Neodiprion lecontei: one gene and its partner. The protein of the gene in region 2 interacts with the protein of the main gene of each other region in a pairwise test. Links are inferred from orthologs where the notes say so. Each region holds a gene or a part of one and is shown on either strand. Other genes may lie near its edges.

Region 1 (7,572 bases), on a different chromosome or scaffold from region 2:
GCAATATTTAAGATGAAAGTGAAAACATTTGAGAAGAAAAGATTGATTACAATATCCGGAGAGTTCCGTCAGAACTTTTTGTCTTACATGACAAAAAGTGCAAAGCACAAATATTTCGTTCATTGGAAATATATTGCTCTATTACGTCTCGATTGTCATGTTATAAATTTTGTTGGCTATTAAATATAGAAAAATGTCTTTCTATAACTCCAAATGTACATTATGTGTATAGTATATTCTGCCATTATACATAAAAAAAAGAAATATTAGTTATATCGAAGTATTTTACTTCATAGTTATCCCAATGAAATGGTACCTACAGTAAATTATATTTATTGTTAAACATTGATTATATAGCTTGTTGATTGTATGACTATAGAGATAACGCTTAGTTACATGTAGTTTTTGCAAACCATAAAGGTATTTTACAGAAAAATGAGTTTATGTCACACAAAAATTGCCCACGATATCTTTCACAGAATTGTTTTCTACTCATCTTTGTTAGATTTGCTTTGTCCTTTTGAATTGAAAATTAAAATGACTGCCTATTTTTATATCTGATTGATACCTATTCATCAATTTTTCTGACATAAATATTATTCAAATGAACAGGTAATTATTTAATAGTGACGGTTAGTTATTTTTACTTCAATACGGTTTCATGTATTTTTCTTGTTTCAACTTCTAATGTGTTGTTAGTTTTGTTACGCTTTATGTGCCAGAACAATTAATCAATTCAAATATTTGGAACAATTTACAATGCGAATACTACCAGGTATTTTTCAGATTGGTAAACTGTTCATGCATTCAGTCCAACCGCACAGAACCATTTTACACTATCTAATATTCAAAAACCTCAATGTGAATCAAACTAACACAAAATAAATTCTGGAATTATTCAAAATACTCATATTTCGAATCTTCGATATTGCAGATTATTTGGTACACATTCAGCAAGTTTTGGCAATGTTAGACTTTTGTAAAATATGGAAAACAAAGGGTTGAATCAGGTAAATTTGAAACTCAATTATTTCCTGGTTTTATAATAATTTGCTCATCAGTCGTATCACGCACACTGCCAGTAAATACGCCTTTCATATGTAATATCAAATAATAATAAAATAAATAACTGCTTCATAATTTTCTAGAAGTATTAGGCACAGAATTGTTCATCTAATTTCCGTCCAATGCACTGCTCTTGCTAAGTTTCAATTTCTGCAGGAATTCAGAGCGTGTCTTATGTTTATACTTGTTAGACGTGTTACGTAAACTATTAATAATAAAATTAATAAAAATAAACAACGGTATGTGGATGAAAGTATATAAAGCACCAAACGTTTTTGAAAATCTTAACATATTTATTTATGCTATGTAAGTATTACAAGGTGTTTTGGGTGTGTCATAACAGAAGTATTCTTATCATTATCATGAATCAACTGCCATAATTTTTATGAAATTGGAGAAAGTATAATTTTTTTTGTAAGACAGTAATAATACGTACAAAACGATGAAGGTAAACGTGTAAAGTCAAGAAACTGCAGCCAATTGTCAACGTTTACGCACAATCCTGTACTGTATTTTTATCAAAAAACAAATTTGTAGTCCAATTTCTTTTCCATCCGCCCCATCATTATACCAAGACTTGCCGTAAAAAGGTCTCATAACTTCACATTAAAAATTTATTCGCAATTATTGTTTGGCCAATTGCAATGCAATATGCGGGCCATTTAATTTAATTAATAATTTTATTTCCATTTAAGCAAATGAGGCACCTCCAACTAATTTAGTAACCTTGTGATTTCTTTGTAGGCAATAGTTTAGTTGGTGTTGTGATTTTGTATGAAGAAAGTATTGCGTACTGTAATGGCTGCTAGTTGGTATTCATTTTTGAACCTTACATTTCAAAAAAGCTCCACTTCTTTCTCGTGAGTCTATACATGTGTGTATTTGCATATATGTATGTCTATGAATATAGACACACACACACCATATATTTTTATCGGGTTTTTCCTATACAAAAATGCAATTTCACCATCTCTTGGTATGAAAACTTAATTTTGTGACCGTCACAGAGTAACTTGACTTTAGAGACAACGGTGTATAAGAAGTTTTAAGAGAAACACCATAAGTGAAAAAATTTGTGGCCAAAGTGGATATTCGAATTTACAATTTCAGCTCAGTTTCTCCCTAGTAACATCTTATCACATTGTAGTGAATTGTGTTACCCATCCGTATTTAAGCCCACTAAGGTGTTCGACGATTCTGTGCCGATGTTTCGACAAGCTTCGTTGGACGATGAAAGTTTTGTGCGCAGGTATATTGCTACATCTCTAAGAAAATGCCCAATTGTATTATGGCGTCAATTGTATCTACAAATTAAAGGAGTATATTGAACTTTGTGCAACAGTTTGGCTAACTTTTTTATTAAACAAGATTAAACAAATTCTAGTTATCTTAAATTGTCACTCTTATCATCCGTCCTCGAAAAATGTTATTACTACATTTTTGGTTCGCAATTTATAGTATACAAAGCAAAAGAATTTCTATCGTTTGACTATGCATAAATAAAATTCAATTCTTTGACTGTGAATAACATTATACGAGAAAATTAAGTCTCGAATTACGAATTTTCTCTTTGCATTATTAAATTTAATCTGGACTGTTAGCTTTAGGAATTTGTTAGTTTTGGCTCTGTTATTAATATTCGTTTTTCAGAAGTGTTATGTATTATTATACAACCGATAATATAGACGTATCACATCAACGTCTATTTTAAGGTGTATTATCTTGTAAATTTTTAAAAGTTGTATTGCATTGTACACATAAAATATTATAACAGAGCCACCGAACTAACTAGTGAAAAAAGTAACTACTAAAAACATTTTCAATTTTTTTTCTTCTAAAGTAATGAAAGACTCAATATCGGTATGTAAGATTACTACTTGAATTGTTACTTTTCAAAATAAGAAATTTACATAATATACTTCCCTTATCTCTAGATGAAAGAGAAATATATTTATCAAAGGACGTTACATGAGAATGGCTGTTTTGTCTGCAACATCCAGAGAATTGTTAGCAACAAAGCCATTCATGGATTAGATGCATGATGAGATTAATTGACAACATAGCCATTGTGTTGATTCTTGTCTCTAGCATCTGTTAACTCTGTGACACACAGTCCCCTAAGTATGGGTTCTCAATCATCGAGATTTTGCGACAGCAAAAAGTTAGCCGCTAGGTTTTCATTTTTTTCACATGCAAAATAAGCCTGAACAACAAGATGTTCAGGGAATCCCAGTGCCTTCAGCCTTTCGATTGCTTCTTTGTCTTGTGGCGTCACCTGAATCACTCCAGCTCCAAGACTCGCACCTGCACCTGCGCCCACACCTGCCCCAGCACCAGCACCAATACCAGCAACGGCACCCGTACCACCTGTAAGTCCTCCTTGGGCCACGGCAGCCGCTGCTGCTGGCGTTCCTTGAACTGTTCCGCCGGTAGCACCAACTATTCAAATACAAAACATCGACTAAATTTTTATGTGTTCAAAATATAATTTCGATCTGCATAGTTTAGATAAGTTTAGATGAGAGCTACCAATAACGCGCAACGAAAATAACTACAAATGATCACTTCTGCGAGACTGAATCTGCCACTCCTTAGTTGATTTTGAGATTTTTAAAGTTTTTTGTATGGGATGAACCAAGTGATTGTATGCAAGAACGTCAACAAAACTCTACTTTTTCAATGCTCAAGGATAATTTTCCACCTTGATGGAAATAGAAATGACATAAGATTCAAAAGTACCAGGTTCGTTGAGCATGCGAACAAAGGCTTCTTGATTCTGTGAAATCAATTGCAGTAGGGCTGGATTGGTCTGTCCAATCTGTTGCAGTACAGTATTTAGTAATTGCGGATTTTGTTGAATCACTTGGCGCATTTGCTGAAACTGTGGTTGGGTGCGTAAGAATGCCAAGGGATCCTGAGCCTGGTCCTGGGCTTCAGGAGGGTCTTCAGGTGGGTCCTCAAACAGCTGAGCTGGAATACCAGTGAGTAAATATTCTACTGCTCTGTCAGGATTGTTGAAACTTGCCCTTAATGCTTGTTCAACCTGCTCTCGATCGTACCTGAACAATTTAAAATAAATCTGTGAGTTGTTTTTTTCACATTAGTTATATTTAAATGAAACTTGATTCCATATGTAGCTCCTACTGACCCCATATCCATAATATTATTGACCATTGTATTGTATTCTTCTCCCATCAACAAAGCACTTTCTGCCTGAGCTCCAGTAGGTGCCACTGCTGCAGGTGGGTCAAGCACAACTGGTGGTGGTCGGGGACGAACATCTTCTGCAGCCGTAGGAGTCGTAGTCAAGGTTGCTGGGCTAAACGTGTAAACGTGTATTGGTCAATTTCTATTCGACAAATTGTTAACTTACATATGTTAGTTAATCCTACACAGAATGAGTGGTTTTGAATTTTGTGCTGCACTTACTTGAACAATCGGAAACATTTAATTCAGTTAACTCAAATTTGAAAAGGGTGTTTCTTATTAGTCATAAAAAAAAGGTCCAAACAATCCTGTTATTTTGAGTAAACTGAATGCATAGAAATACTGATAAATTGCTCAACAGAATTTCACCAATTAAATTCTATTTTTCGCATGCTCTTTGAGTGTGTTGTCTCCTTTCCCCGTTACTCTCCAACTCCCAAACATCGACAAATGAAGAATAATTTTAATCGTAATGCAGAATTATCACACGTAGTATTACCCAATGTAAATATATGAAAAAATGATTAGAGAAAGTATTCTTTCATCAGAAAATATCTGTTGTAATGCTATGATTTACAAAATGTTTCTTATGTTTAAATTAGCACAGGCAATCATACCTAGCTGCTGTGTGTTCTTTGTTATTGTCACCATCAGCATGCTGTTCCTCACTAGTGCTTGGACCAGCGCCAGCCTTAGGTTTCGTTACCATAACCACGATAAACTTTTTTTCGTCAATATTATAGGTAGTTAAAGGCTGCTCGTCGGTCAATATTTTTCCTGCACACATAAGAAATGCATTTGGAATATTGCAGCATCAGTAACAGTTTATGTTCCAAAATAAAAATTTTAAAATAGCAATACAAAGATTTGGTGAGTCACGTATCGGAGGTTGCCAGAATATGGTAAAGTATGTATGTACAGACAATAAAAGCATGATGACATTAAGAATTGAAAAAAGATAGGTTATGGCAGAGAAATTGGCTTACCCGCGTATATGAGTTTTTGATGCTGAGCCGGAAAACCCTTCTGAACTTCGATCTTGTCTTTCAATTCTTTAACCTGAATAAGCAATAAGAACAAGTAACATTTTCATTAGCAACTAAGGGTTTTAGAATAGAAACCGAAAAAAAAAGACATTTTCGGCCACTTTAATGCAGTTTTTACTCACCGTTTTCGAGGGGTCAATCTCGACGGTAAACGTCTGTTGTTGAAGATTTTTAAGCGTAATAATCATTTTGGATCGTCAGCAGACACGCTTACGTTAATTACTACTACTTAAGGCAAAGTATCCTGTGTATCTCACGAAATAAAATTATGTTTTGATAGATATTTTCGCGCTGATGATTCGGCACTCGGAGCTCGTGAGCGCCATGAACCTTTTTCAACGACGTGATCCAAAGCGAATGAAAAGAGGAAATCGTGACCCGCTCGGCTCTCGTTGAACGCGCGCGTCTCGCAAGGGCTGAGAGAGTAAAAATATTTCATTCGTCACTTTAATTTTCTTTTTTATATCAAGTTCTGCCAATACTATCAGGAGTCCGTATTAAGTCATAAAACTCATCTTGAGATACAGGTACAACGCTTCAACTGCCTGCTGGTTGACAGAGAAATTATCACCGTTCCCTGGCAAACATCCTAATTACAAATACCTCACATTAGATGTATTAAGAAAGGTAAATGGTACATTAAAAATTCCTTGAATAAATTGCTGTGTTGACTAGTTCTCTGCACACACCTTGAGGTCAGTGATTGCGGCCTACGAACCTTACACAAACCGAGTGGATAAACATCAATCGCAAATGGCGGTAGTGAGGTCGTGAGAATTGTCAAAGTCTGAAAAAAATTAACGATTCTAAAGAAATGACGACCTTGACGGACCCCTCCGTCTTGCCAAAGACTAAAAAACCATCCGGTGAGTAAGATGTTGTATTTTTAAACCTGTTCAGGCAAACGTAAGATCAATATTGTCGAAGAATTTACTTGACATGACGCAGTAATCTGTCATTACATAATTCTCATGACACATTATTGATTTTATACATGAAATGTCCGTTGGTTTACTGTGTCCCTAACTCACTCTTATCATATTGCAATGATCCCCATAATCTATATTTTCACTATAGTACTACGTATTAGTAGTTGACTTCATACATTCATTGATTCGCAACATAACCTTACATTGCTCTTCATGTCATAATGCGTACACACGTGCTTTTTACACTGAACTGTAATAATACTGAAAGGTGTGCTGACGCTGACAACACGAGCCGAGGGAGACATTCGCCAGATACGGCAAAACCATTCATTAAATTTATTGCAAAATGAAATGACTCAAAATTTTTTTCTGGTTTTCAGATAGTGCATTCAAACAGCAACGGCTCCCTGCGTGGCAACCAATTCTTACAGCTGGAACAGTTCTTCCAACATTCTTTGTAATAGGAATAGCTTTCATACCAGTTGGCATAGGATTACTTTATTTTTCGGAGGAGGTCAAGGAACATTCCATCGATTACACTAATTGCATTTCCAATAGTTCAGCTTCTGGTAACGAAACAAAATGTGCCGACATAATTGCTTTGAATTCCTCAGCTGTGTGCTATTGTGAAATTAACTTCACATTGACAAACGAATTTGGTGGTAACGTTTATATGTACTATGGCCTGACCAATTTTTATCAGAATCATAGACGATATGTTAAATCTCGTGATGATAACCAGCTATTGGGCCAGTTAAGTCAGACACCATCCAGCGACTGTAAACCTTTTGCTTATTCTTACGTAAATAACACTGAAATGCCTATAGCCCCTTGTGGAGCAATAGCAAATTCGTTGTTCAGTGACGAGTTGACTCTTTGGTCCCATGTGCACCAGAATTTTGTTCCATTATTGAATTATGGCATAGCTTGGCCTTCTGATAAATCCATCAAGTTCGCAAATCCTAAAGGTTATGATACTTTGGAAGACGCTTTCAAGGACTATGCAAAACCAAAAAATTGGTCCAAAGCTATTTATGAATTGGATACAAAAAATATTAGCAACAACGGATTTCAAAATGAAGACCTAATTGTCTGGATGAGAACGGCAGCCCTTCCTAGTTTCAGGAAACTGTATCGCAGAATTGATCACTCTCAAGACAGTTTCAAGGGAGGATTAGTTCGTGGAAATTACAGCCTCATCGTTAAATACTGTAAGTAATGATAATAATTCAATAGCAGGACTAATACTCCGATACTCATCACCGCTATTGGTACTATTTTCTATCCTATCACATGGTCTGTAAAGAATCATTTACAAAGTGGTA
Region 2 (4,868 bases):
GTGCCGAGTAAGCGATGGTTACCTGTCGCGATGCTCATTCCACTTTTAGCAACGTGTAAAACGTCTAACTTTAAGTAAGCTACGTTTAATTGCATTGCGAAAAAAAAAATGATCCGACTGAAAGTCAAGCACGTTGCGATCGTGAATGAGCCTATCCATGCAGCTAAAAAATCGAAGATTTGTGTAACAATTGTTACCGCCACGCCACGTGACAAAGGAATCCCAGGGAAATACCCATAACCTAACACATGCAAACTCACCAACGTTGCCGAGAAATGGAAAAGTTACTTGGAAGTCTCTGCTTAAATCTGTAAAAAAACAAAACACGACACTTGAATTAATTTAGCAAATAGGCTTTTTACTTTTCAGATTAATTGCTGTCTATTTTCATATTTATGCATCGCATGTCATGCAAGAACAAAAGTTCGGCTCTAAATGACCGCCTTGAATTATCAATCAATAATTAAAATAAGTATTGTTACCTGGAATCTGGGCTGCTCCACACTTTTACACGTAGTAGTTCTTGTGGCATCTCAGGTTTATTGGTGAAGCGACGCACTTTTTACATCATACAGATCTTCACTAGTCTTTTATAGTCTAAAAATCCACACCACAATAACACTCACAGATTCTACACTCACTTTTTGTGCTGTTGCTGTCTGTTTGAACCATATAATGGTTTGAACCGACTGAATAATCGTGCTAACAATGCAACTGCGCATTTGCCGAAAAGAAGCCAAAAAAAAATAATAAAACTGACACGCGCTGCACAGAGACAAAATACACATCACTGAAATCTGAAGTCACACAAAACAATGAAAACTCCGGATACGAAATGCACCTTCGACGTTCGCGAGTTATTTTTATTGCAGTTACTCGGTTTTTATTCAGGCTACACGCTGCTCCTCGTGTATTATTCACAGATGAGAAAGGTGGAAATACACTGATCGAACAAGGTGACACAACCTGAACAACGCGGTCTAAATGTTGAACCGATGCTGAGAACGCATGATTCCGCTCCGATCGCTCGGAAACGACTGATGCTGCTTGGCTCTCAGAAATCTATTTGGAATTTTGCGATGTATAGTTAGATTGGAGTAGGCGTTATCTAGTACCCTTCGGTTTATCACTAGATTCTCGTACTGAAGTTAGGCGTGGTTAACGAGGGTTATGAAATAGAAAGGAAAGCATGTATTACCCGAGGTAACCTCGCGTATGCGGAAAGTGTAGCGCAGGAATGAAATGAGGATTCATGGAGTAAGAGCATTTACGCCATATACAACTTGTTTCTCTCGCTCTACAACCTGGTAGGCCGATACGTTTCCTCTCACAATCAGCCGATCACATCCAGAGTGAGTGAGACGGAACATTCAGAGTAGCCCGGGAATACATATCTTCTTCTCTTATTACTACGGCCACAGTTTTCACGAGGTTGATGGCATGGGTAGCTACCAGTCGTACATGTTCTAAGGTCGGATGCTACAGCAGTGTCAATCACTGAATATACCTATATTTTATATTAGCGCAAGTAATGCAGGTCGCTGTATGACAACGGGAACGTTGGAATACGGACCAGTATATTCAAGATGGTGCTTGAAAGTACGATGATATGGTGAGCGGCCAAATATTAACGAATTAAGGATAACTACCGAAATATCTGATGGGGTTTGATTGACACCTTTGAAAACTAGTCGGACACCGGTTTTGAAAATGTGCATTATGTTCAAATTGAGCTTATAAGTCGGATGAGCGGCGCGTTGTTCGTTCGGTGTTTTTCGGAGTGACAATGCAAAGTTGAACGGCTTCGTGTCGCCGTATATAAAAGGCTTCTGCAATTCACCCTTCTATGACTTCACGCAAATTCTTACAAATTTTTACCCTACAATCAACCGCGCTGCAATTTATTCGGAAATCCCACTGATCCATTTTTTTCCTCACCAATCTACCTTTTTAGGTTATCTTATTCTCTCAAACGAACAATTTGACCAGGCGTGACTTTGGCCTAATTTACAGTCGTCTATTGGTTTCAACACTTTTCTTGATCCGTTATTTTTATCTCATCTCAACAGCGATGAGTAGATGTGAATCAAATTTTATTTACTTTGTACAAACAACTGTGACATTAAGTAAGAAAGCAACCGATCAGCAAGATGAAATGATATGTAAATACAATAGAATAGGATATACACACTTTTCCTGCAGTTTATTTGGCTAGCATTCATTGAACTACTTTCAGGGATTTTCATTATTTGAAGTGGATGAAAACCTAGATTAATTAAATTTCAAGAATCATGTCCCAACAACCCGATACAGCTGTAACCCATTGTCACATCTTTAGTTTTATCTGGTCATTCTCCATTTTTATACAAGAGTACTTCACAGTTTGCGAAAAATTTGCGACTTGACTTATTGATTTTATATTTAATATTGGTGATATATTCTTTCCAGTGTCGACAACAGCGACTACATGAGAAATGGAGATTTTCTTCCGACCCGCTTGCAGGCTCAACAAGATGCCGTCAACTTAGTATGCCATTCCAAGACCCGATCCAACCCTGAAAACAACGTAGGACTTATAACTCTTGCTAAGTAAGTAAAGTGCAAGTCAGAAAAAATATTTATCCTTGTTTTATTCCTCATCATCCATTGATTATCTGCCTTTGCTACAAAATTTCTTGGTTTGCTTTTGTCTAGTGTTGAAGTATTAGCCACGCTGACCAGCGATGTGGGACGTATTCTATCCAAACTTCATCAAGTACAGCCTAATGGAAACTTGAGTCTGATCACTGGCATCAGAATTGCTCATGTAAGCTATTCTTTCAGATTGTGTTTTTTGCCACTTGAAAAACATAGATTTATTCCATATTTTTTCTTATCTTATGGATATGAAAAAATAATAGGATAATGCTCCACTAGTTGAGAACCTAAATAGAGTATTTTCTGCAGTTTGCATATAACGCAATTCCAACACACAAGTCTAGCCATTTGCAAAAGTAATTCTCACAAAATCATTGTGAAAAAAAAGTATTTTACTGAATTATTGTACTTACAAAATAGCCCAATTTCTTGGTCTCAAGTTTATATACCATATTTTAGCTGGCTCTGAAGCATCGCCAAGGAAAGAACCATAAAATGCGAATAGTCGCATTTGTCGGAAGTCCAATTCAGTTGGATGAAAAGGAGTTAGTAAAGCTTGCCAAGCGTTTAAAAAAAGAGAAAGTGAACGTAGACATAATAAGCTTTGGCGAAGAAACAATCAACAACGAGGTCTTGACTTCGTTCATAAATGCTTTGAACGGCAAGGACGGCACTGGCAGTCACTTGGTAACCGTTCCACCTGGACCCCACCTCTCAGACGCTTTGATATCCTCACCAATAATCCAGGGAGAGGATGGAATGGGGGCAGCTGGGATGGGCGGTGCAGCATTCGAATTTGGTGTGGACCCCAACGAAGATCCTGAACTGGCGTTGGTACGCGTTAGAAGCTACAATCAAAAATGGATTTTTTTAGTTCATTCGTTATCCACCTTATTTTCTGGTATCAGGCACTTCGTGTATCTATGGAGGAGCAGCGACAGAGGCAGGAGGACGAGGCTCGGCGAGCTCAGGCGACTGACACACCTGCTAAGCAGCCAGAGACCATCAAAGAGGCTCCTAACGAGGAAGCGATGCTCAAACGCGCCTTGGCCATGTCCCTTGAAGGGGCCGAAGATACAAGCTCACCGGCAGAAGCCGTTGTAACGACTACAGGAAACGTTCCCGACTTCGCGCACATGAGTGAGGAGGAGCAGATTGCTTTTGCCATGCAAATGTCGATGCAGGATCAACGTGAGCATTGCATTGTTTGGGCGCTTACTACGCGGTTCTTTTTCAAGTCATTTCATATTTTGTTCATTCGAATTCGGCGAGAAATATTTTGCACTGTTAAAGTTTTATTTTGTTATTCAAAGTGACGAATGACTGAGAAGAAAATGTTATTCAATATGCGAATATTTTCAGAGGAGCCTGAAACAGGAAAGGACGAGGCCATGGATGTGGAAGAGGATTATGCAGCAGTAATGTCGGATCCAGCGTTTTTGCAATCCGTACTTGAAAATTTACCCGGAGTCGATCCACAGTCGGAGGCAGTTCGTCAGGCAGTCGGTTCCTTGCAACAAAACAAGGATAAACAAGATAAGGAGAAGAAATGAGGGATATTGCTTAGATGAAATAAATATAATAATACTTACCTAACTACTATAATGAAAAGTTCATTTAAGATTATTTGATACTCGTTAAGCCACTGTGTAATGGTTTATTGTGGAAGCTTCGATATGATAATGAAATACACATCATCGATTTTGTGGAAATAACATTATCACCTTTTTCGTTATTTTTTCGAATTGCTGGTAAAAAAATAAAAGTTTGAGTAAACTAAAGAATCGTTATTAGAACAATAATGATAACAACAGTACCAGTCTCAAGTGAATTATAAGTTCATGTTTGTTTTAAAAAATTGAGCATAAACAATGGGATACATTTATAATCATCTATCGCGTGTTGTCATTACCTATAGTCTTAAATAGCACGTGATTTCAATAAACAAGTTTATAAATATCGATTTTATGCACGTAGCCAATCACCAGTTATAGGGCAACTAAATATTGCACAAATATACGGAGTAAATTTAAACTAGTCAAATTTCTCAGACGTTGGTTCATTTTATTCGTATTGTTACCAGGATAATCTTCTTAACTCAAAACGGCAATATTTGGTAAAAACCATGTGAACAAGGTTTTAAGCACAAGAAGATCTATTTTGAAAATTTTACTATCATTGTTCTATGAAATTAATTATAGAATTATTGTTTTTATTAAATCAATAGAAGT

The links.
Region 1: the proteins of 26S proteasome non-ATPase regulatory subunit 4 (region 2) and UV excision repair protein RAD23 homolog B interact in a two-hybrid assay, tested with the Caenorhabditis elegans proteins (3 studies listed by BioGRID). The link is inferred for Neodiprion lecontei from reciprocal best matches to the Caenorhabditis elegans genes rpn-10 and rad-23.

What each region holds. Positions count from the first base shown.
Region 1 is NC_060260.1:33,127,143-33,134,714, forward strand, and holds UV excision repair protein RAD23 homolog B, read right to left. Parts: upstream 5,648-7,572; 5' UTR 5,507-5,647; coding exon 5,441-5,506; intron 5,332-5,440; coding exon 5,259-5,331; intron 5,050-5,258; coding exon 4,890-5,049; intron 4,385-4,889; coding exon 4,214-4,384; intron 4,125-4,213; coding exon 3,805-4,124; intron 3,505-3,804; coding exon 3,197-3,504; 3' UTR 794-3,196; downstream 1-793. Other genes in the region: cell cycle control protein 50A, read left to right, coding at 6,133-6,184, 6,628-7,458.
Region 2 is NC_060262.1:20,521,560-20,526,427, reverse strand, and holds 26S proteasome non-ATPase regulatory subunit 4, read left to right. Parts: upstream 1-2,276; 5' UTR 2,277-2,291; coding exon 2,292-2,347; intron 2,348-2,448; coding exon 2,449-2,589; intron 2,590-2,694; coding exon 2,695-2,806; intron 2,807-3,096; coding exon 3,097-3,471; intron 3,472-3,545; coding exon 3,546-3,828; intron 3,829-3,999; coding exon 4,000-4,190; 3' UTR 4,191-4,352; downstream 4,353-4,868. UniProt on the Caenorhabditis elegans protein: Binds and presumably selects ubiquitin-conjugates for destruction. Required for protein degradation and ubiquitin-proteasome system (UBS) function and regulates proteasomal subunit expression. Involvement in UBS might be cell type specific.